Linked DNA regions of Nothobranchius furzeri. The main gene of each other region encodes a partner of the protein of the gene in region 3 in a complex. Links are inferred from orthologs where the notes say so. Each region holds a gene or a part of one and is shown on either strand. Other genes may lie near its edges. The genes, in order: c17h9orf78, akap17a, ttf2 and ppp1r8b.

What was found.
Region 1: ttf2 (region 3) and c17h9orf78 share a complex: the UniProt entries of both Homo sapiens proteins name them as parts of the spliceosome. The link is inferred for Nothobranchius furzeri from reciprocal best matches to the Homo sapiens genes TTF2 and C9orf78.
Region 2: ttf2 (region 3) and akap17a share a complex: the UniProt entries of both Homo sapiens proteins name them as parts of the spliceosome. The link is inferred for Nothobranchius furzeri from reciprocal best matches to the Homo sapiens genes TTF2 and AKAP17A.
Region 4: ttf2 (region 3) and ppp1r8b share a complex: the UniProt entries of both Homo sapiens proteins name them as parts of the spliceosome. The link is inferred for Nothobranchius furzeri from reciprocal best matches to the Homo sapiens genes TTF2 and PPP1R8.

Annotation. Positions count from the first base shown.
Region 1 is NC_091757.1:40,165,772-40,173,398, forward strand, and holds the start of c17h9orf78 (splicing factor C9orf78 homolog), read right to left. Parts: upstream 2,879-7,627; 5' UTR 2,780-2,878; coding exon 2,700-2,779; intron 2,544-2,699; coding exon 2,484-2,543; intron 2,345-2,483; coding exon 2,293-2,344; intron 2,206-2,292; coding exon 2,135-2,205; intron 2,017-2,134; coding exon 1,939-2,016; intron 1,124-1,938; coding exon 926-1,123; intron 851-925; coding exon 714-850; intron 640-713; coding exon 535-639; intron 431-534; coding exon 333-430; 3' UTR 1-332. Other genes in the region: NFU1 iron-sulfur cluster scaffold homolog, mitochondrial, read left to right, coding at 2,948-3,006, 3,599-3,699, 3,895-4,030. UniProt on the Homo sapiens protein: Plays a role in pre-mRNA splicing by promoting usage of the upstream 3'-splice site at alternative NAGNAG splice sites; these are sites featuring alternative acceptor motifs separated by only a few nucleotides. May also modulate exon inclusion events.
Region 2 is NC_091754.1:16,998,262-17,005,919, forward strand, and holds the start of akap17a (A-kinase anchor protein 17A), read right to left. Parts: upstream 4,287-7,658; 5' UTR 4,106-4,286; intron 689-4,105; 5' UTR 668-688; coding exon 341-667; intron 261-340; coding exon 42-260; intron 1-41. UniProt on the Homo sapiens protein: Splice factor regulating alternative splice site selection for certain mRNA precursors. Mediates regulation of pre-mRNA splicing in a PKA-dependent manner.
Region 3 is NC_091754.1:32,988,889-32,996,562, reverse strand, and holds the start of ttf2 (transcription termination factor 2), read right to left. Parts: upstream 3,966-7,674; 5' UTR 3,880-3,965; coding exon 3,684-3,879; intron 3,524-3,683; coding exon 3,418-3,523; intron 3,217-3,417; coding exon 3,130-3,216; intron 3,040-3,129; coding exon 2,970-3,039; intron 2,152-2,969; coding exon 1,357-2,151; intron 1,061-1,356; coding exon 940-1,060; intron 773-939; coding exon 614-772; intron 515-613; coding exon 360-514; intron 275-359; coding exon 193-274; intron 1-192. Other genes in the region: cpap (centromere protein J), read left to right, coding at 4,726-5,040, 6,043-6,238, 6,500-6,617, 6,704-6,809, 6,944-7,642. UniProt on the Homo sapiens protein: DsDNA-dependent ATPase which acts as a transcription termination factor by coupling ATP hydrolysis with removal of RNA polymerase II from the DNA template. May contribute to mitotic transcription repression. May also be involved in pre-mRNA splicing.
Region 4 is NC_091745.1:71,999,029-72,006,799, reverse strand, and holds ppp1r8b (protein phosphatase 1, regulatory subunit 8b), read right to left. Parts: upstream 5,289-7,771; 5' UTR 5,083-5,288; coding exon 5,033-5,082; intron 4,582-5,032; coding exon 4,521-4,581; intron 4,297-4,520; exon of another isoform or gene 4,131-4,296; intron 4,082-4,130; coding exon 3,928-4,081; intron 3,837-3,927; coding exon 3,619-3,836; intron 1,756-3,618; coding exon 1,611-1,755; intron 1,321-1,610; coding exon 1,256-1,320; intron 1,160-1,255; coding exon 806-1,159; 3' UTR 627-805; downstream 1-626. Other genes in the region: protein THEMIS2, read left to right, coding at 7,221-7,320, 7,676-7,771. UniProt on the Homo sapiens protein: Inhibitor subunit of the major nuclear protein phosphatase-1 (PP-1). It has RNA-binding activity but does not cleave RNA and may target PP-1 to RNA-associated substrates. May also be involved in pre-mRNA splicing.

The DNA.
Region 1 (7,627 bases), on a different chromosome or scaffold from region 3:
TTGGGTTTTTTATTGCTTAACGTCTCATTTTCAAGCAGCTGCTCTAGTTATTCCATCTCATTAGCTAAGTGCATCACTTTTAAACTTTAGTATGGTTCTTGTTTTAAAAAAACAAACCGAGATATATTTTTACACACTTAATAATTGAACAGCCAGCTCTAAAATACTGTAGACTTAGAGTGAAGCTAAAGCTGCTGACTTGTTTGAAAAACCAAACAGGAAATCACACAAATCTGGAGCTTCAACATTTTGGTCAACAAATGTTTTCAATAATAATTAGCAACGGCTCACATTTTCAGATGCCATTGTGTGGAGGAAACAGATGCAACTTTTTAATATCTTCGGTTCATCTTCTTAAACTTCTCGTAGTGGTAGTCATCCGTGGCCTTCTCGTTGTTTGGACGTTTGCGTGGGTTCGGTGGCGACGGAGCTACGGACAGACAAAAGAAACGAGTACAGGTTTTGGTTTCTGGAAAAAAGGAACCAAAAAGTGTTTTTGGTTTGTATCTGTGACTGTGTGGTCGTGTCTCGTACCCTCTGGGCCTGGCTTCTCTGTGTCGCCCACTCGCAGCGGTCTTGCTTTGGGCTCTTCTCTGTGTCTGTTGTGCCTTTGTGGTGCATTTGCATCCTCATGGTAGACTAAAAGAAAACAAAAGCATGATTAACAAACTTTTCTCCTCTAGCTGGAACGGATGCAGACAGCCTGAACTCACAGCGGTTATGTTGGACATAATTAACAGCAATATTCGTGGGAACAAACGACGTCCCGAGGTCTTTCTTCTTGTTCCTTTGCTCTGCCAGAAGTTTGGCTTTTGCCTCTTCTGTCTGGATAATGTTTTTAATCTTTGCACTGAGAATGAAACGACAGGGATTAATTTGAGTAAAATAAAAAGAGCTGAATTATTAAAGAATCTTCTGAATTTACTCAATGCCAAGGTCAACCTCCGGGATCCCACTCAGCATCTGATTGGACAACATCTCCTCTGTCTTCTTGGCAGAGTTCACTCGGATGTTCTCAGGAAGTTCGTACAGGTGGTCCTCTGCATTTTTCACCTTAATTTTCTGTTCCTCAGCCTCCACCAGGCCTTTCTTCTTTTTTAACTCTGTCTCAATATATTTCATCCTGTAAAGAAAAACACAATGGGAAATGTCCCACACGAACAACTGGATGGCAGCTACGTTAAGATTTTGAATACTAACTTGTAGATACTTAAATATTTAGTAACAAAGTTCATGTAATTCAAGAATTGAGATTGCTTTTCCAACTTTCTTTAGTAGAATAAAAAGCCTTTTCTTAAAATGCTGAATGAAGCCAGCCAGTAACATGCTAACAAAAGTTCCAACACCATTTCATCTCAGACAAAAGCAGTCTTTGTAGTTTGACTGATTTTACAGTCAACATTAACAGCTGGTTAATTCAGGGGTTGGTGCATAAATTGTTTTGTTGAGCAAAATTTGATTTCTGACAAATACTGACACTATTTTAGTTGTTTAAAGAGATGAAAACCCAGGTAAACACCAGTGTTATTTCTTGTCCAGGGCAGCCATTGTTGGACCAAACTTGTTTTTAATTTGTTTTCTTTGTGGAAATTCAACTTTATTATGTATGATGGAATATTTTTTGCCAGACGGAGGAAATCAACTGAACACCTTCCTTTTAGGGCTGGGCGATATGGCCTAGATGGGGCTGTCACATGTGTTAGGTTGAGTCACATTTTGGCTCAGGGTGGTACAGCTTCTTAAAGGGACATGAATGTTGACGACCTACACACACCTCTTAATTTTTTTATTATTGAATTTCTTGACATGAGAAAAATTATCTCAAAAGTCAGAAATTTCCGTTAGAGAGGAAAAAAACAGAGCACAATTTAAATAGAGGTTGGACAATGTTGAGTCTGAAGAGGAAATGATTATAATACAGTTTAAAGAAAAGCTCACATGTCTGCATCTTCATCCCTTCTGTTGGTCTCGGCGGAGAATGAAGTGCCCAGGCTGAGGTCGGTTTCATCTTCTGTCCTGTTAATGAATCATCCTGGATGAGTCAGTCATATCCGATTAACTGGATTTGGTTTAATTGTACAAAGCATTCAGGCAGGTATCTATGTTGCACCTGAGGGTGGAAAACTTGACTCACATGTCTCTATTCCTGTCTTTCACTTTCTTCATGTCTACAACTCCTCCCGTCTTCAGTTTGAAAGGATCATTCTGTCAGAAGTGATCAATAAAAAAGTAAACGTTCAACATGTTGCTATTCAACACACACACACATTTTTTTTTCCAAAGAAAACTTACATCAATTTCGACTTCTGGAGGCAGTTTCTCTCCCACCAATAAAGCTGTCACACTAGACAAAAAGTAAAAGGTGTAAGTTAATTCACATCCAAGCAGTTAAGTATTGACATTAAGCACAACTAATTGCTTCTGTGTGAAACGTGCTACATAATAAAGATGTCTTCCATTCTACATTCATATTAACATGTTACCTGACTCCGCTCTGTCGTTTCCTCAAACTCTGAAGTTCTTTAGCCTCTTCTACTTTTGATCTAAGAAAAAAAAATACAAAAGCACAAACATATTTAGGTAGGCAGCTTATTAAAATACAACTAACAACAATGGCGTTCTGTTACTTTAATTTTGGGTTAGCGGCTAGTTTGCTAACACAACATATATCTTAACAACTCGTTGTTCGAGTATTTTACCTGACTTCTTCTGTTGTTTCATCCTCCTCTTCATCATCCGACGAATCTTGTCTTCTTCTAAAATGCCTACCACAAGGCATATTTAGATAGTTTAACGTAAATATTTGAAGAAGCAGCGCCTTACTGCGCGTAAGCTTGACGCTGATAATTTCGGGGGGAAACTTTAACAGACGTACAAAAATATTCGTCACTTCCGGAAAAGTATAATCTACTTCCGTTCTTCTTGAAGGATCACAACCATAACAATCATGGCGGCTTATAAACACGTTAGCGGGTTGTTGGGGATTTCTGCTAGACTTTCACGACCGTAAGTGGATATTTTGCAGGATTTTACCTTCTATTGTGTTTAATTTTTTTTCTTTTACTTTTTGCAACATGTGAGTCATTTCTATGCGACTGTGTTTAAGCTTGTTGGTTTAGTGTGGAATGACGCAGACTAAACATTAGGTCTGGAAACGAGGAATGTTTCATTACGATGTTTTTTCCCATCAAAAATGCCCTTAAAGTAAAATTAACACTAAACAAACCTGCATAAATGTAATAAATTTTTATCTTGCATCCATCTTTTTGATCATTTTTATTTAGTAGGGGAAAAAATACAAATCACCAGAACAAATGTGCAGAACGCGTTTTTAAAGCGTGCTGAAACAACTCTGTCATCGCGCCATTGCCTTTTTATTAATGTTTTGCTTTCCTTAGTTATAGCATTTGTATTTGATTTGGTGTTCCTGTTCAGTGTAGGAGCTTGTTCGCACATCTTCTAAACAGGAGTTTACCCGTCTTATTATTGCCACATTTTAGTGACGGTAAAGAAATCGTCCCTACACACAACAGCATAATATTTTTTATAATAAAGAATGTTTTTTTTATATTACTGTTTATCTGTTCATTATTTTCAGTCTTGTTGGCAGTGGATGTCAGAGCAATGGATTCCACTGGCCCTCGCAAGCTACTGGAGTTTCAAACAGATGGCCACAAAACCCCTTCTGGACTGTTCCTGGTTTGTTTATTTGCTGCAACCTCTAGTGTGACTTTTTATTAAATAAGAGTGATTGTCTTTTATTGTCACGTTTTCCACAGTGATGTCAGATGCTTAGGTGTTGTGAGAAAATCGGGCATTCTGCACATGCAGAAAATGACCACAATTCTCTTGTAGCCCTTTTTAAAAATTTGCATTACATTTTTTATGTTACAGGAAGGTCCATGTTTGTGCAGACACAGGATACTCCAAATCCAAACAGTCTAAAGTTTTTGCCTGGGCGGACAGTTCTCGAAGAGGGAACCATGAATTTTGCAGGCCCTCGTGATGCTTACTGCTCACCTTTAGCCAGGTATTTCCTAATACAAGATTACTAATCTCATATTAACATATCAAGTTGTTTCCTTACTCTGAGCAAACTCTGTACCAGGGGGTACCTTGTTGTATGTTTGCCAATATATGCATATTGTATCCACTTAACTGAGAGAGGCTTGTCTAAATGGTGGAAGCAACATTTTTTACTGTCATCTTAAAAATGTAATAGTTTATATATATATACAGTTTATAAATAGGAAAAGGTAGTATTTAGCTTTTAGTACAAAGCAAAGGTTAACAGTATGAAAATAAAGTGCAACTATTATATATTCTTTGGTGCAAGACATATGAAACATCTTCTCTAAAAACATGAAATAAAAATATTTAGATCCCAAAATAAATACAAAATGAATAAACATACAATGTAAATAAGAGATAAACTATGTACACTGTAAACATGAGACCTGGCTATTTTTCTTGTTGCTGTTGATGCAGCAGAGGACAAAGGTTGTAGACTCGGGTCAGCTTTTATTTATTTTATTTTATTTTTTCACGATTAAAGACAGTGCATACTTCGGCTCAAATAGATGCATTGTGTGTTAATAAGCAGGGCATGCATTGCATAGGGCCACCAGGGGCCCGCAGAGGGCTGCTAACTTTGAACCAAGCCAAAACCACAACGTCTAGCACCAAAAATATACCAATACCTACTAAGTATTTTCGGACTGAAGAGGCACCAAGTTTTGAAACCAAGCTCTAATTAAGAGTCAGGTATTAGTTTTTCGGTACTTTGTTTTCTTATTTCTTTGAAATGGTGGATTTTTCCAAACTAACCCCAAATAATTGTTGGTACCACTTTACAATAAGGCACCCCTTATAAATGATTGGTAAATGTTAATAAATATGTTGAAATTAATTCATCTGTAACTCTTTATAAGTGTTTATCGTCATTGGGGGCAAGAAAGAGACAAAAATTGCTAAATGGTGAGCCAAATATAATCACTTGTATGTTTTGTCTACAGTTGCCATTTTAAACATTTCAAACTAAGTTGCTGCCTTGTTAGCTAAATGGGCATTTGTAAACATACTTTTAGCAAATATTATTATATTTTATAACTGTATTATGAAATATCCACAAATGTCAAAGGGAGCCCCAGTTTAAAGTGTAAAGTCTGTCACCATTGATTTGTAAGATAACAGCAGGACCGAGTCTCACTATTTATATATTTTGCATTCCTAAACATATGAACAAGCCATTTAAAATTAACTCAATCTATATGATACTACTTTAAGTCCCTCTTTTGGCATTTGTATATTTGTAATAAGCATAATAAGTAGTCTTTTAGGGGGAACAGAAATGTAAAGTGGTATCAACAGTAGGGATGTGTAGTGGTGAAATTCTGGCTATATGATACGTATCACAATACAGGGGAGACGATACGATATATTGCCATATTGAAATTTTCTTACATCTCTAATCAACAGATGTTTTTTTTATATATGTAATGACTAGGATGGGACATAAGAAAGGGGGAGAAGAAGCCAAGAGAAATTTCTAATGGTGTCTAAATGACTTTTTTAGAAGGTCCGCCCAGAGTTTTATCAACTTATTTCTCCATAAAACTTCTATGCTTCACTCTTTGTATGACATTCAGTTTAGTTTGTTGTACCAAAACAATTCAAATAAACATTAATGCTCCAAAGTGACATGGTTTGGGGAATGTGTTTAACCCAAGACATGCAGAATCACACATTCACAGACCTTATGGTAAAGAAAAAAAAGAATCTTATTTTTAAACGGGAACTGAGGGTGCACTGGAAAAGCCCAGTGGAGATCGAGAACGGGAGTGCAGCATCTGAGGAGGGGAGAGCAGATACAGGTGAGTCCAGGATGGTAAGTCTAAACTTGATGGGTGCAGAGAATAGACTTACTGGGAGAAGGGGAGCGTAGGAATGAGGGAGGGTAGGTTGAGTGCCGGGGTAAATCCAAGTGGGGTGTCCAGGAGAGGGAGTGAAAGGAGTGCGGGCTGGCCTGGAGGAATGGAGAACGGTGAGAGCTGCGTCCGGAAATCCTATGGGGCACAGGTGAGTAATCCTGAGGAGTCGCAGAAAACCAGAGACGTAATCCAGAGAAGTTACAGAAGTCCAAAAACATTCCAAAACCTGGTAACGGGTAAGCACAGGGAAAAGATCCAAAGGTTCACAAAAATTCCTAGAAACACTAGAGCACAAAATCCAAGAGTCGCAAGTGGGCAGGAAACTACCAAGCTGTAGTAATCATCCGGCGTCGAGGAGTGTTCTTCACCCTCCTTTTGTAGCCAGACCCGCTGATTTCAAATCAGCTGCAGCTGGAGCCTCCCTCTCCTGAAACACATAACTCAAAGATGGGAAATCTGAGAGGAGTACTCACCCCGGCACATGACAGTACCCCCCCCCCCCCCCCCCCCCCCCAAAAAAAACGGTCTCCTCCTGGCATCCTAGCTGACGCGGCCTCGTAGTCCCGGATCAGGGACGGATCCTCAATGAAGGAGTGGGGGACCCAGGAACGCTCCTCCGGACCGTACCCCTCCCAGTCGACCAGGTACTGGGTATCCCGGCCACGGGGTTGAAAATCCAGAATCCTGCGAACTGTATAAACCAAACCCCCCTTTTTGAACCGCACAGGCGGCGGAGGAGCTGGCGGAGGGCAGAGGGGGCTCGAAACCACAGGCTTAACTAAGGACTCGTGAAATACAGGGTGAACCTTAAGGGAGCGTGGGAGCTCCAACCGAATTGTGGAGGGAGTAGGGACGTCCAGTATCTTGAACGGACCTAGGAACCTGGGAGACAGCTTACAGGAGGTTGCCTTTAGCGGGATGTCCTTGGATGAGAACCAGACCTCCTGACCAGGGGCGTAATCCGGAGCCAGGCGCTGCCGGCGATCCGCCATCCGTTTGTTTTTATCGGCTGTTCTGTCAAGAGCCTCCCGGGTGGAGGCCCAAGCACGTTTGGCCCCCCGGAGGAACTGCGGAACCGTGGAGGGAGCCGAGGGCTGCTGGGGAAACAGGGCTGGTTGATACCCTAAGGAGGCTTCGAAGGGAGACTGACCTGTTGAAGTTGAGACGTGGCAGTTATGGGCATATTCGACCCAGGCGAAGTGGGAACTCCAGGAGGATGGGTGAGCGGAGCAGACGCAGCACAGCATCGCCCCGAGCTCCTGGTTCATGCGCTCACATTGTCCATTAGTCTGCGCGTGGTAACCAGTCGTGAGGGCGACTGGCTCCCAGAGCCTCGGCGAACTCCTTCCATACTCTAGAGATGAACTGGGGTCCCCGAACGGAGAGAATCTCCTCAGGGATACCGTGCAGCCGGAACACATACTTAATGAGCAGTTTTGCTGTAACTGTGGAAGAAGGGAGAGATTTTAATGGTATGAGGTGGCAGGCTTTAGAAAACACCACTAGTAGTGGTGTAATAACCACTTCAAGTGTAAACTGGCATTGGGGATTAGGTCGGTGGAGCACAGGGGCAGTTGTAAATCTCCTCTTTGGCGTCTGGAAAGCAGCCTCGGCTTCTGGGGGCCAAACAAAAGGCCGATAAATAGAGGTCAAGTTTGTCAGAGGGGCGGCTGTCTGACTGTAGTTCCTGATAAATC
Region 2 (7,658 bases), about 16 Mb from region 3:
ATAAAACAATATTAACATAAAGGTGAGACGTGTCATAATACCTTGCCGAACGTCTGAAAAACAGACATGAGGACATCCTCTGAAGGCCGGTCGGGGAACTGGCTATCCTTATGGCTGAACCAGCGACATGGAAGCCCTTCCAGGTGGATAGTGTCGGGCCTCTCTCCAGGCAGAGTCTCGTTCATGTCTTTTGCATCTCGAAAAAAAGAGTCCCAGTCATGGCGCGTGGGGAAATCCATTTTGTTTTCTACTGCACGTACCTAGGGGGAGAAAAGCATCAGGTATAAAAGAAAAAATTAAAACTAAAAAGGACCCACACAGCAGTGAGTGTCAGCTTTACCTTCAGGACATCAGTAAATCCACTGAGTTTGATGGTTTTTCCATCCAGACGACTCAGCAGACTCTTGACCACCGTCTTGTTTTCCACTTCACCCTCAAAGCGGATGAAGTCCAAAGTGCTCTTGGAGATACGCAGAGCTGAAAACTGCTCTGGAGCCACCATGGCCTTTACCCTCTCCATCACCTCCCAGTTGGAGATGCTCTTGCCTGGCAGCTTGAGCTGAGGCAAAGCTACACTGACGGTCATTTTGGCAATGGGCTTCAGGTACAGGTTGTACTCAGCAGACAGACACACTGCCTCTGTGGTGTCGTGGACGATGGTGGTCATTCCTCCTAAAGTACGCAGATGCTGGGAAACAAAATATTAATAAAACAATAAAAAAGTTTTCTGGGAAATTCTCAAACGGTCAGGATTAAATATGACTAATAATCATTAAAATATATTTTTGTTGTTTTTCTCTTTTGCAAAATTGAAACTGATGGGAGTTTAAAGAGCAAGTCACCCCCTACCAGAGTCTTACTCCACTCCCAGTTCATATTTGAAAAATGCAAGAAATGCTGTTGGCTGACAGACCGAGAGGGCGGAGCCTAGGGTTGGGCGATTTGTACAATTTTTGCCACTGCCAATAGTCAGTCCAATAAATGACGATGGGCGATCTATTTGTGCATGTGACTCTGAGCAACGTCATGACTGATTACAATAGAAGTACAAACACTTGGGTTTTTTTTTGCAAATGTTTGCTGAAGGAGAAAGTTTGATTTTTCTTTTTATTTAATTTTGTATTTGTAGTTTGGTAGAGTGACGTATAAACAGCTCGTATTAAACACAGTTAAAATGTTAAAAAGAAGCCTCGTCTTTGCTTCTCTGCGGTGCCACTATTGGGGTATTTTATTTAAGCAAAAGGTTTTTTTTTTCCCTGAACAAAGGCTACTGGGTTTCTTTCTTTTATGACTGAGAAATGAAATTAATTGCTGCTGCAGTTGGACGGCCTCTTAGTAGAGAGCATTGCAGCCAGAGGTCACATGATCCAGTTATCCCCGTCACTTTCATTTTTGAAATAACAATCAGTCACAACATCACGTGGGATTTGAGAACAGGAAGGGGGAAGTGACTATTGTTTATATGTGATCAAACTTGCCGTCATGTTTTGTGAGACTAATTTATTAAATATGGGTAAGCACTAGGGTTGTCACGGTGTGAAATTTAACCTCACGGTTATTGTGACCAAAATTACCACGGTTTTCGGTATTATCGCGGTATTTTTTTAAACGTGCTACATTTTCACACAATTAAATAAACCCTGTATGTCAGGAAATATTGTCCTCAGTTTGTGTCTAAATTTTGCCTAAATGTGTTATTTTGTAATTATGTTGTTTATTTGTTTACATTTTTTCCCTTTAGTCTTTAAAATACCAATATTCGACCATAACTTCTTGTTTTATGTCTGTTTGATGTCATCATTTAAAAATATTAGATCAGATGATACTCAGTACTCAAGCAGCCTTCTAATCAGATACTTTTTTACCCTTACTTGAGTAATAAACCCTATATCAGGAAAATATTGTCCTCGGTTTGTGTCCTTCCAGTGAGCTTTGCAGATGTGGGAAAATGTCATCAGGCAGTAATCATTGTTAAATTCATAATTATTCTCGGAGAGAGACCAACTCTTATCTGCCCCTGGGAGCCCCGTAATGCATAGCGTCATTTCAACATGGGGGTGTCCGTGACACGGTTTATATGCAGGTAGCGGCGCTGCGGCTGCTTTATATAGCGACTCGTTGCATTCTCCCTCGACCCAAATCCTCGGACCACGCATTTTAGCTAAAACGCTAATGTTAGCTTGCCTTGCGTTGACTGTAGAGTTGTGGGTGATGGTCACGCAGATGTGTCATGAGATTTGAAGCGTTGCTGCCTTTCACAGATACTTTTTCTGCATGTACTGCAAACAGGATAGCCGTCTTCTATCAGCTGTCTCTCGGCATTCTTCAAATATCCAAAAGATGCCCGTACTTCCCACTTTGTCTTCTTTGAGGGATAAAAAATGTCCTCCTGAGTGCTGCCGTCTCCTCCCTTGGCCATTATTTCAGCTTTAGCTTCAAGAAAGTTTTGGTTGTAAACAATAAAGCGCGCCAGGCAACTTCAGCAGATGATACGGTGACTGATAAGGGTCACCGCGCCTACACCGCAGCCACGGTAAACCCACAGAGATAATATAGATTTTTTAAAAACAAGACGGTTATTATTACTGTCAACTTTTTTACCGAGGTTTACCGCTACACCGGTTACCATGACAACCCTAGTAAGTACGCTATTTATTAGAATACGTTAGGATCAACGCGGCGCTCTTCGCGTAGCCACTGTCATTAACTATAATGGCTTCTATTTAAAACTACGGAGCGGGCACGATGCAGCTCATCCATCTCCGGTGTGCCTGTGCCTTTAGGCCAAAGTTTTAAAATCAGGAAACATCTCTCCAAATTAAATAACCATAAGTCTTCCAGACTCTCTGAAAGAAAAGTTTCCACTTTCCACTCAACACTGTGTTCTTTTGCACGATGTTTATTGCATCACAGACACTCCCAGCTCCTATTCAGCGCGCCATGTAAGCAGCAAGATGCGGAATAAGTGAGAAATAATGCTCTGATGCACTGATGGAGATCTTTTTTTTCATCCCGCTGCTATGTTGTCTGTGCGCAACGTGTAAAATATCTGTCATTAACAAATGTATGCACAGCAAAACACATTGATAAATAAATAAGACAAATCGCCTCTAGTAATAAAAATCGCAATGGTTCAGCCCATTGCCGACGGTTGAAAAATTCACCCCATCGTCCAACCCCAGTGGAGCCACTAACACAAATACAGGCTCACAGTGGCACTGTGACATCATATGGTACCAGTTGACAACATCAGTACCTCTTAGCCAATAGGGATGGCAGGTTTAAATTGAAATGCAGTGCAGTTTTTACCTGATGAGGGCGCAACACAGACTGTTAAAGGCAGAAAATTAAAATTTTAACTGAGATGCACTAATGTGATTAATTACTGACTACACGTGTCTACAGCACGGTTAGACACTCATTTGGTTTATCAGCAAAAAATATTGTTATGGGGGTGACTTGCTCTTTAACAAGCTTGATTTGTTATTACAAACTTATATTTTGTTTACTTGTTCTACATTCATTTTGAAAATAAATTTAGTTTAATTCATTAACATCTAAATGGTCACACACACGGGGCGGGCCTCATGCCGTATCTAAATAATAAAGAGAATTAGAAAAAGTCCACAACTGCATAACTACATTGGTCTTTCATAGGCTTAAAATATCTTTTGAAATTTAACTGAAAATAAACATATTTATTCACAGTTCAACTGAAACAAATTGTCTTGCCAAACCGTACCTAATAAATAAATACCTTCAACATCGGGCACTAACAACACAATAGAAGAAGAAACGTATTTAAAACTATCAACACATATTTAGCCGGTGAAAAAGTTGTATTAAACATCAAGGTTACTTGCAAAACAAACTCTGAATGCAATGCTAATAACTGAGGCTAACAAGCTCGAGACTGTAAAATGTTCCATCAACAAGTAGTTAGCAAAAGGCATTTAAAGCATTAGGTGCTCGTTAATAGCTTGGTGGACAAGCTAATTTCATATCTAATATGAAGCTAGTTAGCTTTAGCTCAAACAAGCAAAACACAAAAACCGCTTCCAGCGCTGTGCTGACGCGAATTATTAAATATTTATCAACAACTTACCCAACATTAATTAGAATCCTGATAAAAACAATGATAAAAATATCGTGAGGTTTCCAGCAGAGCAAATCACTGCGGAGCAAAAACTATCCGTATAAGCACAAAACTGTACACCAAGTCGCTACCACAGACATGTTTGGTTGCTACTGCATGCTAGTTCCGCATCCACCGAACTATGACCTCTTAAAAAGTCAACGTGTGTGTGACAACGACGCAGTCGCGGAGTTATGCAACAGCGACACCATCTGGTCTGAAAGAGAAACCGCAGTTCAGTCAGAGTTAGTCGAGTTTATAACAAACGTATTGAAGAATAAGGAGGACCGAAAGAAACATAAATAAATACGTTTCCAGGTCAAGAGCTATGGAAGCCCATTCCGGCCACTCAGATAAAATAAAATAAAATTATTATCTCATAATTATGACTTAGCTATCTCATAATAATGAGATAGTATCTCATAATAATGAGATAGCTAAGTCATAATTATGAGATACTAAGTCGTAATAATGAGATACTGTCTCATAATAATGAGATAGCTAAGTCATAATTATGAGATACTAAGTCATAATTATGAGATACTAAGTCATAATAATGAGATAGTATCTCATTATTATGAGATAGCTAAGTCATAATTATGAGATAATAATTTTTTTTTATTTTATCTGAGTGGCGGGAATGGGCTTCCATAGTTGTGATCCCAAACCGAAGGTTAAAAGATTTAGAAATGGATTTATGTAAAAGTTTTTTCAAGTAAAAAAAAATTAAACCTGTATTAGAAACCTTATGGTTACATTAAAATCATGAACTATTTATGCTTTCAAAAATAAATTAGATACTTTTATGTGCGGTGCTTTTTTTAAAGAATGTATAATGAATAAACTGTTCATGTATTTCAGATTGTACTTAATTTAATGATACATTTAATAAATTATTTAATGATTTCTGTAACTGTTGAACTTTTGGCCCTCTAAAGAGGAAGATGCCAATGGAAGATGCCCCTGCACTGTGGTGCAAAATACATATTTTTTACCAGTTCAATCTGATGTCATTTTATTTAGAATTAGTCATATTTTATAGTAATCATTTAAAGTGGTCTTCACCTATAGTTTGTGACATATTTAGCTACATTGTTTTCATCCCATTACAATTTTGTGCTGAAAATAGTGCAAAAATATTTTTGCAATGCACAATAAAGACAACACATTTGTCATGCTGTTTTGTCCAAATACATGTGAAAATTGAGCTAATGGAAGACAAATAACCTATTTTAGCCAAATAAGCCAATAGAGGGACCACACTGCGGTGTGGCTGATAGCTCTAAATCTTTAAATTAAGTTTGCGTGCATGTTTATGTTTTTGTTTGTTCTTTGGTTTTCTCCCACAGCCCAATAATTTACATGTTTGGTTAGTTAGCTACACTAAACCGGTCCTACATGTGAATCTATACTGTACATCTGTGCAGCTTTGTGATGGACCGACGACCTCTGAATAGAAGGCTGGAATTTATCAGGAATATTTCACAGAGCATGACATAAACATTTTCTTTAAATTAGTGTTAAGGTGCATTTTGAAGCTTTATGAATCACCCAGCCAATAAAAAAGACGTGGTTATTTGTCACAAAAGCTCAATGCCTATTTAGCACTGCTGGTCACCATGACGACTATTCCATATAAAAGTGGGAGAAGTGGATGGACTGGACATGGATTACTCTAAAAAGACCCCGGGCGACAAAGTTGGCACAGTTTCCCCTGAAAAGATGGCAGAGGAATTTACATAACAGGCAGTGTGTGTGTATGTAGGTCAGTGGCTGCAGTCAGACAGCCTCTCTGTTCTGTCCCGATCAGCAGTCAGCGAGGCGGCTCACGGCATCCCTGGAAGAAAAAAAAAAGCCTCACACTTGTTTGCATCTAATATCAATTATGTGGTTATAAAATAGCACGATTAAAAGGTTCACACACAACCCCCAACTTCACTAGAGGAGCCCACGTTTCTGACTAAACAATCCGAAGGTGCCGCTGAAAAACTCTTTAAATATTTTGCATTGACCAGCTTGAAACAGGAAGCCGTGGATTTGCAGTGAATGCTGTTCCAAAGCTGGCGTCCGGAGTCATCAGATCATCAATTTTCAGCCCCGCCGCACAGGGACAACCACAGAGAGCCAGCAAACAGGTCACCTCAATAGAGGTCTGTAAAATAAATGAAGTTTACATCGATGCAAACGTTTATTGCTTTAACGTTTAATTAAATGAATCAAGAAAGACAAAAGTGACTCGCATGATTCAGCACCGCAGAATAACTTCACAGAATTTCACGTCACAAACATTTACAGTAGAAAATAACTCGTGCTGATGAGAAAGGACATATATTAAAACATTTCTACAGGAATGTGGAAACCATAGAATTACATCTGAGTAGAAATGCTAGAGAATATAAAAGGGACATTCAAGAAATCAAAAAGTTAAATTTTGGAGGTTCACATGTTTGGGAGAACAGTCAGGAAGTCTTCATGATGCTGCTGAGCAAATACAGGAGAACAACTCCTGCTAGTTGCAAGCACTAAAAAAATAAACCATAACCATTGTGTATGTGCAAATTTAGGTAAATGTGTATTAATAAATAACACACATTAAAAGTTTCTGGAATGTCTGTTTACTCCAAAAGGAACAATAATCTGTGATCAGCTGCTTCTGTCTGAAATAATTTATCATTTTTAAATGTTTAATGAAAAGTTTCTGCAGGAAACAACAAACTTTGTGTCATGTTTTGAGAGTTCAGCTTAATTTGAAAGAAAACATGATTAAATATATTAAAGTGAATGTTCAAAACCATTGTAGTTAGTAAAAAAAATTTTTTTAAAAATGTGCTCTGTGTGCGTTCGCTTTGCTAAAGCAGCCGCAAATGTCAAAATTTTTTTGTTTTAAACAAAAAAAATTTAAATAATTTCTTAATTCTGTGCTCCTGACATTTTTTGTGGAAACTATAAAATAAAAATCTGTCTATATATATATATATATATATATATATATATATATATATATATATATATATATATATATAATCGGGAAAAGAAACCCCTATTTAGTTCTAACCCCCAAAGACAACCTTCAAAGTTTAAAGTGACAAGTGCACATGAGCTGAGCATACAAATGAATGCATGAATGAATGAATCCGTGTAGAATAATAAAATCTGCTACTTAGAAAATCAGGACATTTGTTCACATTGTAGAAATGCAACAAAAACATCTGCACCATACCACTATTGAGAACTTGGGAGTGTAGAAACAGAACTCTATAAATAATTTACTTTGTAAAAAATAAAAATAAAAAAAAGGTTTTGGCGACTAGTGTTGAACGAATAAAAAGTGCTGTCAGTTTTGTTGATGCTATGCTAACGTGAAAACCCACTCTAATGCCGTTCGTGTGAAAAATCTTCCAATTCCTGAAGTAGTGTTTAGCTGCTTCTAGAAAATACATTAAAAAAGGTTGGAAAATGTTTTTTTTAGACCGTTGGAAATAAATTGCTACGTAAACTGTGCCCTCCCTTTCTTTACTGCATC
Region 3 (7,674 bases):
TACCCTGCTTCATGCGCTGATGATTTTAGAAAACACAAAATAAACATCTCAGTGGTTACAAAATGTAACTCAAAAAGAAACAAAAGCTCATTCTTAATGTTTAAAACAACATCTGAGATTTTGCTGCAGGACATTGAGAAATCTTGGATAAAGATCACGGAAACAGACGTAAAAAAAGATAATAAAGATTACCCAGAATTCCTCCACAGGGATTCTGCTTTTCCCTCCAGAGCAGCCAAGCCAATGCTCTTCTCTGATGAGCCATAAGTGTCACCTAGACAACCAACAACACAAAGGCAATGACAAAGTCTGATTGTGACTGAGCAGACACCAGAGTAGAGGCTGAAGGAGAAGGAAACCTTGATGCCACTGGGGTCAGGCACCTCAGCCTCAGCCTCAGGACAAGACTCCAAGGACTTGTGGAGATGATCGATGGCCTCACAGGTAGCATTCTTCACTGCCAGCAGACGATCATGGGTCATCTTGCCACCATAAAAGGCGTGCATCTGTGCATCTACACAAAACAGAACAAAATGTTAGTTTGTGTAAACATTAAGGAGGTGAAGGAAGAAAATACACACCAGTAAAGAGGTTTAACAGAGACTTGTCCTACCTCCAAACATCTGGGCATATCCCTGACTCAGGTGGAGGCCTGAGGCTTGGTGCTGAACCGGGTCTGAGACCGGGGGAGAGGAGAGCAGGATGGTACCACCCTGCTGGCAGGATGGACTGATGCTGGTGGTCCTAGTAGCAGACTGGCTGATGCTGGACTCTTAAAAGCGATTTACACAAGAGAGCAGCCGTGAGCAAAACCAGGTTTTTAGTCTTTTATCAGCTCCCTTCACTCAGAACTGATCCTTTAAATGAGATTGTTTCATGACCATCCGTTGTTCTGATTAACTGTCTCCATTTAATCCATTTGCATACGTTAAATCTCACCAGGCTGAGAAGCAGCAGCTAGGCTCAGAGACTCCAGAGCATCCTCTAACTCTTTCACCTGGGTCCTCAACCTCTCTCCTTTATCTGGCAGAGCTTCCACATTCACCACGGACAGAGTTGCCTAATACAGTAGACAGACACGCAATTACAACACACTCAGGTAATCATCACGCAAAGCTTCTTTGTTTCTCCGGTAAAACGAAGGTGTTCCTTGTTTGTCCGATGAGATCTTATGGTTCTGCTGCAGAAAACAGGAATGCAGAGATCGTGTAAGCATGAGAGAAACCCACCCTTGCGTCAGCAGGTGGTGTTATAGGCCAAACACATCACTAGCTATGATGCTACAGTTAATCTGATCAAAAGCAGAGGATGTCAGAATCTACAAGTGGAGGAAAGGAGTAGATTTTCTTAAACAACCTTTTTCTGTTTGAGCTGTGTGCTCAGCAGGCTGTGCATCCCGCTGGTGCTGTCCACCTTAGCAGCTGACTGGAACCCAGGGAAGCAGGTTAGGGTCTTCTGAACAGCAGAGAGGGGGGGCGTTTTCTGAGCCGGGGGTTTCACTGACACCAGCACGACATCATCATCATCATCCTCATCACTAGGGAGGGCTTCTGACTCTCTGGAAGCCTGCTGGCTGCCGTAGGGGGCAGATTTGGTTGCGCTGTCTTGAACCGAGGGTTCACCTTGACTCGCTGGTTTTTGTGACACGTTTTCAAAACCAGGAGAGGTTTGACTCTTGATGTGATGTACCACGAGGCTTGGTGCAGAAGTTTTTTTTTCTGCTCCTTCCTGCTCAGCAGAATGTTCCTTAGCCTCCTCTTGGGTCTTTGCAGTCATTACATTATCAGTGCCAGCTCTGTCCTTGCTGCTCTCCTCACTTGAAATCTTCTTCTTGATCTTCATCCCAGGTGGAAGAAGTTTCCTTTGATATACATCAGGCATGTTAGACTTTTTTTCCTCTTCTTTTTCTACTTTTGCACCTACAGCTTCCACATTTTCCTTCTGGCAACTTTCTCTTCTGTCGGCGTTAGGGCACACTTCACTGTTTTTCTTCTCCTTCTCTTTCCCTTTTTGACCATTGGTCTGCATTTTTCTCCACTCTGAGTCTTTCTCCATCTTGCTAGGGGCCTTGAAAGGGTTTCGGACAGAGGGAAGGGAGGAGGACTGCTGCAGCTGTGCATCAGATAGAGGAGCTCTCTTTTCTTTTTCCACCTGCAAACATTCAAAAACAACATGCATTAAATTATGTGTGAATTCAATATTAAAGAAGCATCTTAAAAAAAACATTTAAACTGTTTAATCACATGCAGTCCATGAAAAACAGTGTGGCGTGTGTGTGTGTGTCAGAGTGCAGCTGCAGGGGAGAAAGAGAGTAGTGCTTCAGAAGACGCACCAGGCGAGGAGAATTACACGAGCTGTGATGTGTTAGTAATCAGTTCCCTTTCCTTCATCTGCAGCAAGGGTCCGGGAACCTATGGATCAATGTCTTGAAAGCAGTAGGCTACATCTGGCACCCAACACTGGGTTTCAGCAGCTGGCCTGATGACATCAAAAGGTCAAGGCTGCTGTAACTCCCCTGACCTGGCGCATCTCCTGACGCCCAGCTTCCCTTCCTCTCCCCTGCAGCTGCACTCGGCACACGCACCACCACAAGCATTAATGCAGGTACATTTTTCATATAACCTACTGCAATCAGCCTTTAAGTTGCACTTAGAAAGGTTGAACCATCATATGAATTTACATCATCTACCCATGGGTTTGGAGGACTTTTAAACCATAAAATGAGTTTTGATTGGCATATTTGTCTTTTTAATCTCAGGGTGTTGATGCTGCTAGAATTGTAAACTCCCTTCTGCAAAATAAAGTATTTATGTCTGAGTGCAGGAAGTGAATTGAGCTAAAAAAAAAAAAGAAAAGATAGCCATTTAGGAGAGTGAGAGGCAAAACTGATGTGACTGGACTCAATAGATAGATCTGACCAAAGGCATGTAAAGTCCAAAACATTCTTGGTAAAATCAGTCAAATCTTACTGCAGTCCACGGCACGTTTCCACACCATTTCTGCCCGTCTCTTTTCCCAACAGTACACCTGAAGTAGAGTCTGAAACAGGGGAGAGTCAGCAGGCCAGAAGTGTTGATAACATGCTGCTTGTTAGGTTTAATTTCATAAAACATCTTTTTGCACACCCACCTGTGGCTCTGCTGCTGCTCACTGTAGCTGAGAGCCTGAAGTTCCACCACCGACTCCTCATGATGCAGGCAGCGTGACGGTGAGATACTAGAGAAGACAGCTTTATTATTATTTAATACTTCAAACAGGATGAGAATTGATGAATCCGTTGGTTTGTCCATTCATTTTATGTCATTTAATTTACATGGCCGCTAAAAGGTTATGTGTAGAATAGCTGGGATAACTATTATTTAGCTGAAGTGCAGTGGCCCCATGTCAGCTTCAGATCAACGCCCTCATGACTTATACCTGGCCTGTCGAGTGAACTCGCAGCCCTGCTTTGCAACGCAGACGTAAAAGCTCTTGTCTTTACTCGGTCCGTCTTTTACGCCCGTTTTTAACATACACACGCTGCCTGTAGAGAACAAAGACAATATTAGGAAAACACCAGTCTCAGAAAACGGGTCATAAAGTTTCGATAAAAACACAAAGAATTCATCACATTTTCGAAAAAATAGGCCAAAGTGTTTATTTTATAGCAATAAATAATGTTGAATGTTGTAATCACGACTTACCATGCGTATTACATACGACTTTTTCCATTCTCTCCAACAGCTCTAAATGAATGCAGTTGCCGTTTTCTTTTTGCCTGAACGTCTCATTGATGGTATTTTTTGTATTGACCAATCGCAATGGTCTAAATGCATTTCTGGTTTTTGAAATGCCAAAATAAAAGTTAACATCATACGTATAAATTGTATTTGGTAACATTTCCCATGAAATTACTATTGTATTTGTATATACAATTAATTGTAAAATTAGACCAACCGAAAAGACGAGAAAACTCCAAATTGACGGTACATCACATACCTAATTTTCTAATGGATATTAATGTGAAATGTTAGCGCCGATAAACCGGATTTAGCCCTAAATAGAAAAGATAAACGGAAAAGATGTAATGAAAACTAGTTTTACCGCTGTTGTTTTTACGTTTTGTGAAATTATTATAACGCGTATTACTTCAAGTCGGATATATGTTTAATTTTTAAATGAGCATTTTGAAAGATAAAACAAAACTGCATTACCCACAATGCATTATTGGTCCTTTTGCTCTCGCGGGCTTTGTTTTGATATGGCGGCAGGCTTCGAAAGTTCTGTTGGCTATCTTGATGTTTTATTTCTCTTCAAAGCTGTAAGAAAACTTTTCCAGAGTGTTTCAGGTAACTTCGATGCATTTTGAAATGTTGAATGACTTAGTGTATTTCATTTTTCTTCTCTTTTGTCGTGTTAATAACCGCTGAAAACGTTGTTTCTCGTTTTGCCCTACGAGTCTCCAAGCCTTTTAACTGTTTTGACGTTCCCACAAATAAATTACTTATTTCAGATCAGGCGTCCTGCTAAACTGTGCGGTAACTGTCCTGCTAGATCATTATTGGTCATTTTGTGTGCTGTGATAATATTAATGCCACAAAACTCGTTTGTAATTTAACGACACGTCTGAATGTGATTGAGTCATTGTATTTTATTTGGCTCTTGGCATCAGAAAGGGTGTGTTGTCACCATAATCTGTTTTCGAATCCTGGATTAGCAAACCCTTCCTGAAGCGACTCGGTCATCATGTCATCTCCAACCGAGCCGCGGTGCTCTCAGGCGGATTTCTTGGCCCGGTGGATACCAAGCAGCAGCAGAGCCGGGGTGATCCTGAAGCCTTCCGTGGGTCTGGCTGGACCCTTACAACCCATCTCTCCTGCATCACCCACGCCGCTGCATCCCGACAACTCCTTCTCCTCTGACTTCGCCCCTCTGCCAGCCTCTGCAGACAGCAGCTGCCTTGATGTGTGTGGATGTGTAGGATCAGCTGGGAATGACAGGCCGGTGAATGGACTGACAAACAAAGTGCAAGACTTGCCTCTTATGATGAAGCTAGACCAAGTAAGGAGTTCATTTTGTTGTTAGGCTCTAAGTTTTATTTAATTTGCATTTAGATCTTAAGATATAGTTTGTATCCAGTGGAATAGAAAATGCTGCAAATAAGAACAGAATAAAAGTGACATTTCTGTAACATGATGTCAAACAGGCCACTTGTATTCAAACGTGGCAGATCTGGTCAGTGAGAGTGTTCCTATGTTTGTCTAGCCCTTATAAAGTTCAAAGCGTAACAGTAGTTAAATTACACTAGAACAGTCTTCTGGTCAAAGGGTTAAAACTTTCCCATCACAGGAACTGCTGTGACTATTCATAGTGTTGTGAGGTTTAATTGCTGAGGTGTTAATCTGAGTTGGATTAGAGGCAGCGTGAGGTCACAGGTAAACATGCTGCCTGAGAATGCTGGAGTAGTGTCATGTTGTGTGTAGGGCTGCGTGATATTGGAAAAACCTGCGATGTGCGATAACGGTGATTAATGTTGCGATTACGATACGGCTTCAAATAAATACTTAACTCAGAACAGAAAATCAAAAAGAAAGAATTAAAAAAAATCAGAAGATGACTAAAAAAATATTTAAAAAATGGGAAACGCTAAATTGTGAGCAAAAGATGTGAGGAAAGGGGGAAAAAATGACCAAGAAAAGTCAGTCAGTGGATTCCGGGAAAAGCAGAATCTTCAGAAAGAGCAGAGGAAAGCTAACTCAGGTGTTTGCTAGCCATCCAAAATAAGTGCTGTCTGCCTAGGGGGCGGGCATCTAACTGATCAGAACCCACCCGATTGGCCAAATGGGTGAAGGGCTCTATTTGATTTGTAAAAACTTCATGCTTTTGTTTGACAAAATGCATCACGGAAGCAAATATTTGAGTTACCCACTCACTGTGTTTTTTTTCTGTTCTTTGCAATGTGCGTATTGCGCATGCTGATATCGCGATGGTGATGCATTTGCGATGTATTGTGCAGCCCTAGTTGTGTGTAAATGATCTGTAATGTTGTGTGTTTGTATGCAGTTGAGGAAATGGCAGCAGCACATGCAGGAGCAGCTGAAGGCCCACCAGCTGGAGGAGCTGCTGTCCCTGCAGGAGGAGCATCACAGGATTGTTAATGGATCACAGAGAACCAGCGTACTCGGACAGGAGAATCAGCTTTCAGCACCAATACGACAGGAGCTGCTTTTGAAGTGTCAGGGCTGTGAAAATGATGAGGGTGAGAAACAATGCTTTTACTGGCCTCTCTAGTCAGTTCACCTGCAAGTAGGATGTGTGGTGTGGTAAATCTTGTTGGGCAACAAAGAAGTTAAAGTTTCATATTATTTTTGAGTTTACTGTAGCTTTGCTAAATACGCTGTTTAAGGCAACATCTTCTCATTAGTCACAGAACAGGTGCAGCTAGTGTTTATCCTCATAATTGGTTTATAAATTCCCTCTGTTGATAAGTTCTTACTCTTTCCTTTGTGGACCACCACAGAAGAAGAGGAGATGCCTGTTGACGCCGGGCAGGAGCATGATGATGCATCAACCCAACATAAAGGTGTGGTGCAGAGGGAAGGTGACGGCAAACACCTTGGTGAAGTCGGTAATGACAGGTGAGTGTGTAGCGGTTTACAGGGATCAGAAAGTCTGGTCTGAGTCAACCAACTCAGACACGCTGTCTGCCGTGGCTCCTCCTCAGACCCATACAGCCGGGCCTCGGCGGTCAGAAGCAGACATTTGAGGAGCTGTTGGAGGAGCAGCTGAGACTGGAGGAGCAGAGGCTGAAGTTCGTTCAGCAGCAGCAGGTAAGACCGTGTATTTGCAACGGCAAAATGATGAACGGTTGAAGGCTGGACACATTAGAGCCTCACTCTGCTGACACGGTATTGGGCTACATTCTGAGGCGTGCTGGACTCACAGCGAATGTTTATGTTAACAGAAGCAAGAGGCTGTCCAGGCTCCTCCCAAGAGGCCCTTTTTGAAGCGAGGCCAGGGCCTTTCTAGGTTCACCAACAAACACAAAGCAGGGAAGAAAGACTACAACCTGCAACCCCATGGTAGAGTGATCTCCAGCTGCAACTCTGCTCCTGATGTTATTGTGAAAGGGAGTTCCACTCGTGTCCCACGGCTTCCTGTCCAGCGTAAAATAGCTGTACTCAACAAAGAAAACCGAGTGAGAGGTCTCTGTTCGCCACCTCAGGACACCAGAGCAGAGAGGAAAAAAGTTTTGGGTTGTCATCAAAGACGAAACACAGAACCAGAGGCCATAAAAACCAAGAATCAACCGGGCCATGTTGAGGAGCACAGTGGGAGGAAAGTGATTCAGGTTCTGAGGACTTGCAGCCCAAACATGCAGCAGAACCCTGTAACCAAAAAGGTGCTGGGAGGACAAACAATGTCTGACAGTGATACTGATAATAAGAAGAGTTCTGGTTCAAAAGTGGAATCAGCAGAAGTAAGAAGCGACTCGGAGAAGGGCGTCCGAGTTCCCATGGAGTCTTTGGAGTCGTTCCAGGAGAAGCTGCGGCACTGGGAGAGAGACCGGCAGATGGAGAGCATGGAGCTGGGAGAGTTTGAGCTGCTGGAGGAGGCAGCAGAGGAGCTGTCCTTCTCATCCAACTCCTCGTTTGTCATGAAGGTGCTGTTCACACAACCACACAGATACATGTA
Region 4 (7,771 bases), on a different chromosome or scaffold from region 3:
TGAAATGACAAAGAAAAACTGTATTTACAGTAGATTTATGGTGGGAAATGGCCAAACTTTTAAAAACTCAACATGTCAAATATATATAATGAACATTGTACAGTTCAGACTTTAACCTAAACAAAAAAACTAATGAAGACATGTATTTATTTACCATTCCTTTCATTAAATGAAGACACAAACCTGTTTGTATAAACTAGCGCCTGCAGGCTTCTTTTTCAATCTCACTCAAACCTGATATTAGAGATTAAACCACCATCTAGTGGCTTGTGAGTGAATGCAAGAAAAACTCCAACCACCCAGTGGATTGAATTAAAATGTTTGATTTCATTGTTTTCTAAATAAAAAAGCCCCCCCTATGTTGAAAACTGATCCAGATCTGGAGTTTTGGATTTTCTCGATAAAATACTGTAAATAAAATTACTTTTTCACCTTTTTTAACACTTTTGTCGACATTTTGAAGGAATGAGTCCAAAAACATATAAAAACAAAATCATACCATTACATAACAGTTATCATATCCACTGTTGTTCGCCCAGACTAGTAAAAGTCTACGTGCCCCCACTCGCCTGCAGCTCCTTAAATCACAACTGTTGTAAATTTTGGAGAACTCCATTACAAATAAATGAGATTCTCTTGTTTATGGGATGAATTTTATGCAAAACTGCGTAAATATGGGAAACACAACAAAATGATGATAAAAATAAAAGATCCATCAGAAGTGAAGAACTCCACCTCTGCCAGGTCACAGTCCCTGATGTATCTGCTGGAAACCTGAGAGTCGGCAGCACTACAGAAAAACTGCTTAGATGAGTAGCGAGGGCGTGGGTTTCTTTCCTGGCCACGCCTCTTTGGCGTACTTCTTTTTGCGCGGCTCGTTGAGGGTCTCTGGCAGGTAGGGAGCTGTTACAGGTGTGGGGTTAAGGGTGATGAGGGGCTGAGGAGCATCTGGGTCCAAGTCTACCTCTGGCGCTGGATTAGGGAAGGGCAGCGGAAGCCCTCCTTGCATAGCAACACCTCCCGGAGCTCCCGTTGGCTTGTTCTCATGACTGGTAGGAGGCAAGTCGCCATAAAGTCCACCACCTAAGCTGTAGCCGTGGATACGCTTTGAAGCCAGATCGTCCAGACCCAGAGTGTTTTGGCCGTCAGATCTTCGCTTCTGCAAAACGGACGGAGGAATAAAAACTAAAACTTGGAAACAACTACTTCCATTATTAATGGAGAATTACGTTCACCTGTGGGGTGAAACATTTACCTTCATGGGGATGACGGCTGTCTGAATCATATTCCTGAAGCGGCCGACCGATGGGTCTATGTCCTCTGAATAAGTCAACAAATAAGGACAGTTTACATCAGATGAACTACTTTTTTTTTACTGCACTGAAGACATCACCAATGTAAAATAAAATAAATAAAAAACTGTTACATTACTCTGATTCACATTTAAGGGCACAAATTTGAGTTTTTTGTACATTTGTCTCTAAATCAACCTAAAAAAGGTAGTTTAGATCAACACTTCCAACTCATCTCCATCAAAATCTAGTGATGGTTTGACCAAGAAATGAAAACAGATAAAGCTTTAAACAAAAGATGTTTGTGTTTCTACGTACCTGGGTTGATGATAGAGTCCTCTTCACTGAAAGTAACTCTGGAGTTCCTCCGTTTCCTCTTGGGTCTCTGGATTTCCAGGTTGCCTTCCTCGATGGTCAGGAGGGAGATGCGTTTGTTGTGAGCAGTGTTGAACTCCGTTAGATTCTGGCAGAAGTCACAAAAGAGTGTCGTTAAACCACACTGACACCAGGATATTACCATGCTCTATCTGATGCAGCACCTCCCCAGGATAGATATAAAAAGGTGCATGAAGTAACAGTGACATCACGTGGTCAAATTTGCATATGGCAGTCCATGTATCAAAATAAAACGTGTCCGCTCTTAACTGTTACCAGCTATGGCTCAGTGCCAGAAGATTCTTAGTCTGGTACTGCTGGGACATCAGCTTCTATTAGTCATGTTACAATGTCAAATAAAACAGTTTAACATGTTACTAAAGTAACTGGTGTGTCTTAAAACACAGAAGAGTTATCTGTGACGTTACAAATAGAAAACAAAAATGGTGTCCGTGTCCATATTTGATGCACCAAATAGTAAAAGAACGAGTTATTGCTGCAAGAAAAGAGAAAATGCAGTAAAACTCTAGTATTTAAGGCTTTTTGCTTCCTTTCAACTTGAAGCTTAATAAACAAAGTCAAAATGCTGAAAAATCAACAGTAAAAAGCAAACAAACAAAAAAAAAAAGAAAATTGGAGATGTCGGGAAAAAATGTGGTGCAGTTAACTCATTCACTGCCAATGACGTCGTCATTTGCATTTTTTTACTGTTTGAGCATCGGCACGAGCCCCCGCCCTGAGAGAACAAACATCTCAGCCCTGAAGCTGATCTTCATCCGCATACGTCACATATCACGTGATCAGGAAGCAGAACATCCATGTGTTAGGAGATCGTTTTGGGCCGTTCCTGTAAAAAAAAGTGAGGCGCGAACCGGAAAAGCGTCTGCCGATCACAATTCGACAACGGATTATGAAAGAACGGATAATGCTCGAAACACACGGCTTCTTCCTGATGTAAGAGGTGAGTCTCCTCTTTGTTTTTGGTTGTTTTGGCATTGACATCATGCTAGCGCGCAACGTTCTGTGACTCTTAAAAAAAATCATAAAAATGGTGAGAAACGCTGGCAGCGAAGGCCGTTACCCCCAAATTCCACTACCTCCATTCCGCTCTGGTCCGGTCCGCCCCGCCTTCCGCAGCCGCTCGCTTCCAAACTCAATTTTTACTGGTACCCGCTCTACAACGGCTCCGCTCCGGTGCGGAGACCTGAGGTGGGCAAACAAGCATGCACGGGATTTTCGAGATCTTGCGATACAGTCCGAGCAATAAACGCGGAAGTTAGATCCAAACACCCGTTGTGTGGGAGAAGCATCGGCATGAACTGTTTAATCTGCCCATCATTTGTGTTGAGAGATCAGCAGTGTTTGGATGAACAAAGTGTGACTACTTTGATAGTAGAAACTGTATTTATGGCTTACTTTTGTGCATTTAAACTTCAGCCGCCACTGATAGTTGTTAAAAGTTGTTAAACCTGTGCATATGAAACAAAAAACGCCTTTTTTTATCGATTTATTGTGAAAAACGGAAGTTGTGCTTGCTCCTTTTCCTGTTGGGCGGTTGTGATTTCTGTCCATTTACTGCGGAGGTGCTCCGGCGTCCGGCGAAAATAGGATCGATTCTATTTTTGCCGGACGCCGGAACAGAGGGCAGCGCACTGCGCCGCATTGCCGGAGCACGGCCGCAGTAGTGGAATTGCTCTGATTGACTACAACGGGACCGATTTTGCTCCGGCGTTCGTGTCGGAGCGGAGGTAGTGGAATTTGGGGGTAAGTGATCAGGAAACGGCTGGCAGTGAGTGAGTTAAAAAACCAAACACACTGAGATCATTTCACACTGTGGCTAATTTGCATACAAATAATTCCATTAAGATGCCACAAGCGCAAAACAGGATGTCAAAACAAGTCAAGAGTAACAAGCGGCGAGTCAGTGGAGCTGATCTGAATTCTAACAAACCTCCAACTCTGTCTCTTCCTCCGGAAGCCCGAGCAGTCCTTTTAGCTCCTCCTCATCTCCTGTCTTACTGTCGCCGGTGCCAGCGCTTCCTTGGGTTTGGGGTTTTTCTCTGATGGTGTAGGTACGTGTTGACGCCCCGAAGGATATTGTAGAGTCGATTGGAACCTGCTGAGGCTTGTGAGGCTCAAGGCGAATGTGTCCGAGGAAGGTACCATGTGCTTAAATTGTAAAAAAATAATAATAATTAGGATTAATACATTAAAAGAGCAGAGTGACTGAGAAATAATTAAAGTGTTTGTGAAATCTTACTGCTATTAAGATCTATAAGGAAGAGCCTTTTTAGGTGTTTATGGTAGACTAGAGCGGCGTGAACACGCGAGCACGACTGATGGTCGATGGTGAAGTCACACCAGTCGGGGTTCCTACCAAACAGGTAGAACTTCTTTTCATCTATGATCAGTTTCTACAAGGAGAAACGGATGGTGTGAATTAGTAATGGCGTACATTAATGCATTTGTGCCTCTGAGTTATAACTCAACAGTGTTGCTTTCCACTGAAGGGCTTAAATCTCAGGGCTGATGTTGTTCTCGCACCTTTTGAAGCCATGCAGTCATAGGTTAACCCCATTGTGCAACACGCACAGGGCGGAGCAGACTGTCAGGCTTGTATCTGGTGCTTTTAACATTTGTACAATAGTAACAATCACATGTGTGTTCTGCTATGTGGAAAACAGAATCATTAGATGTTTAAAATAATAAGGAATGACATTTTATTGTGGAATTTGCTTATGTTTAAGAGATTAAACAAATCTGGATTTTTAACTTAGAAATTAAATAGAACTGAGATAATTAAAGCTGATTTTAAAGAGTCCAAACTAAATAACAGTTTAAATTTCCAGTTACCTCAACCAGTTTGTCTCCTTTCATCACGTCTAAGTGCAGTCCTGTGGGCGGTTTTCCTCCCCTATAAGAAACAATTAGAGACTTATTTAAACACTGAACTGATCTCAGAAAATACAGCAGTGCATAAATATATTTACAGCATATTTAACCATTTTATAATCTAATTTTAATTCATTTATTCAAACATTTAGCTCTTTTCACTCGAACCGAATACTTCAAGAGCATATCTGTCAAAAAATGTCCTGCTGTCACCTCTATACGTTTCAACTAGGTGAGAAACTTTTAAAATCAAGCCTTTCATTCATTTTCAAGCAGAAAGCAAACCGTGATCCGCATTTAGGCTAGCCTTGTAGGAGGGGTTAGCCTGCTAGCTCGATTGGATGCTAACGCTAACGAACTTCTTTCCTCTATAAAAGTTACAATTGTTAACGTAACAACGTCGTTTTGCTCGTTTGCACATAATCAAGCGCTGCAGTTGGTATTTTAGTACTTCAACATGTGCATTTTCTCACCATGATGGGCAGTCAAAAGGTGGACCGTCTTTGCTTGTTTTAGCTGCCATCTTCCCTCTACATGTTAACGATGCATTTTGGGTAATTGTCGCTTAGGAATGCTGGGAAATGTAGTCCGGTAATAGACCACGCCATATTAAAAAAAAGTAAAAGTACAAAAAACAAGCTAATATTTCGCATTTATAGATGTGGTTGTGTGTGGAACTTATATATTGTTGAGTTTATGATTAAATTCGGGTTTTAGAGTTAGTATGAAGTAGTCTACTAAAAATAATAAAGAAAAAAGTTCAGGTAAGTCACATTTATAGTTCATAAAAAACACTAATTTTATCATCACAAATCTACTACTGTGTGTAAAGTTGCAATTTGTTATCAAAAGAGAACATTAACGCGCAACAGGGGCGGAAACAGCTACTCACCTAATAATGATTAAATAAAAACAAATTATATAATTTCAGTCCAATTCTGTTAATATTAAAACAATAGACCTTAAATGATAAGTTTTTCTTTATACTGGAAAGATAATGTACATCATAACAACATAGTTTTGTTTAATGTAAACTGATTCTGTTTATATGTTTCAGACAGATGGAGGTGACAAATTTTACTTTTACTTAAGCAGCTTCTCTTCAGCCCAACAAAAACACAAATCAAGCACACGCAAGGGTGCCCCCAAGGGTGGCCAGGGGTGGCCATGGCCACCCCTAGAAAACAGCTTTTTAGTGCATTTTGTGTGACACAGCCAGATGTTTTTATTTTAAAACTTTTAACCTTTATTTAACAAGACAAAGTATTTCTTACAACTGTGGCCAATCCAAAGGTAGTGCCTTTTGACAGAAGGATGGGCTAAATTGCAAAAGTTACCTTTTCCACAAAAACAAAACAAAAACAATATTTTACAAGAACATCTAGATTGAGATGACTTACGGTTTTCTGTTTGAATAATTTAAGTAGCCCAAGACATTTGAGCAGATTCATTCAGATGATAATTTTAAAAGCCACTATTTTATTATTTGATAAAACCAGGCCATTTGTTTAACCAACAAGGATTTATCTCAAAGTCCATTTAGAAATGTTCATTAAAAAAAATTAACATTAAAAATTTGTTTGGTGTTTTTTAATGTTTCAAATAAGAAAAAAAAATGTCCTTTTTGTTTTAAGAGATATTAACATGTATTTGTCAAAAATGTGGCTTTTATAAAATTTAAAGTTCCTAAAGAAACCACTGGAGGTCTCTGAACTCCAAATTGCAAATTCTCAGTAAAGACCCAAAAAATAAAGTTTTGAAAAAGTTTGAAATGTTGGTTTGGAAACAGCGATACCACAAGCCTCCTACAGCATTTGTTACAAAGATTCAGCACCTAGAGTTTAACACAGAAAAGGGATGAATAAGTAGCCAGATTCGACTGACGCTTTGCTTATTTTCTCTTTCTGATTTGTAAACTGTGGGTTTGAGGGTCATAGGCTTCGGTCTTGTCATAGAAAAAGTAAAGCTGCCATACTTTTAGTTTCTCTTTAAAGCAGAAGGAAATGAGCCTGCAGTCTTTTTGTCCTTTTACAAATAAACTAATGCCATCAAAGTTCCCTTATAAATGATAAAACACAAAAAAGAACATGTTTGGGTAAGGTGCCTTTGATCATTCATTGGTTGAAAACATAGTTTGTCACAGGAAACATGTTAGACAAAACTGGTATGACTAAAATTAACCTATTTGATGTATCCAGGTGAGTCACATGAGAGTTTTTAGGTTATGTTCCTAGTTTGTGTTTTTCTTTCAGTTATTTGCAACAGAACAAGTCACATTCATCACACTTTATTTCCAATCATCCACTTCTTTCTAATCTGGCAATGACGTGTTTTTCATTTAGCTACTGGTACAAACCAAGAACCAATCTTAGCCTTGCAGTAACTTTTGTTTTAACAGTGAATTTTTTACATTTCAATTGGCTCCACAACAATAAGCTGCTGTCAACGATTTTTAAAATCACAAATCTTGACAGTAAAACAGGGCCTCCGTCATAACTCATAAACTTCCCCCCTCCCTTAAAAATGAAAAATGTTGTGCAAAAGCTCCTGTCACTTCCTCATATACTTTTGTGGTTTTGCTAGAAGCGCAACTCCTTTTTAGCTGCAGTCGTCATTTAACACTTGTCTTCAGTCTTATTTCGACTCGCCGAGGCAGCAACCATGGCAGGCATTGCTTTGCCGCTTCAAGATTTTATTGCATCGCTGGATCCCAGCAGTTTACCGAAAATTCTACAGATTTGCTCTGGAGTCTATTTCCAAGGTGGGTTTTATTTATTTATTTATTTATTTATTTATTTATTTATTTAGTTATGTATTTAGATCTGTTTTAAGATCATTATGATTTTATGACTTTATGATTAATTTTGTTTTGATTTCAATGAAGCCCCTTGTGATTCTTTGTCTGTGATGAGTGCTATATAAATAAGATTTACTTATTTATTAAGATAATAAAGGTACAAATTTCTGAGTATAGGAATGTAAAGATCAAACATTGTGTTTCCTAGCTAAATTAGTCACATTTATTATGATTAAAATTTTCATAATCATAAAAAACTTCATCATCGAGGCACATTTGGGAACTTTTATATGCCTGACGGGTTCGTTTCATGCATCAGGTTCGGTGTATGAAATATCTGGGAGTGAAGTTAGCTTCTCCACTGGGGATCTAATAAAAGTCATCGGTATTGAACTGCAGTCTGTCTCCTGTGAGG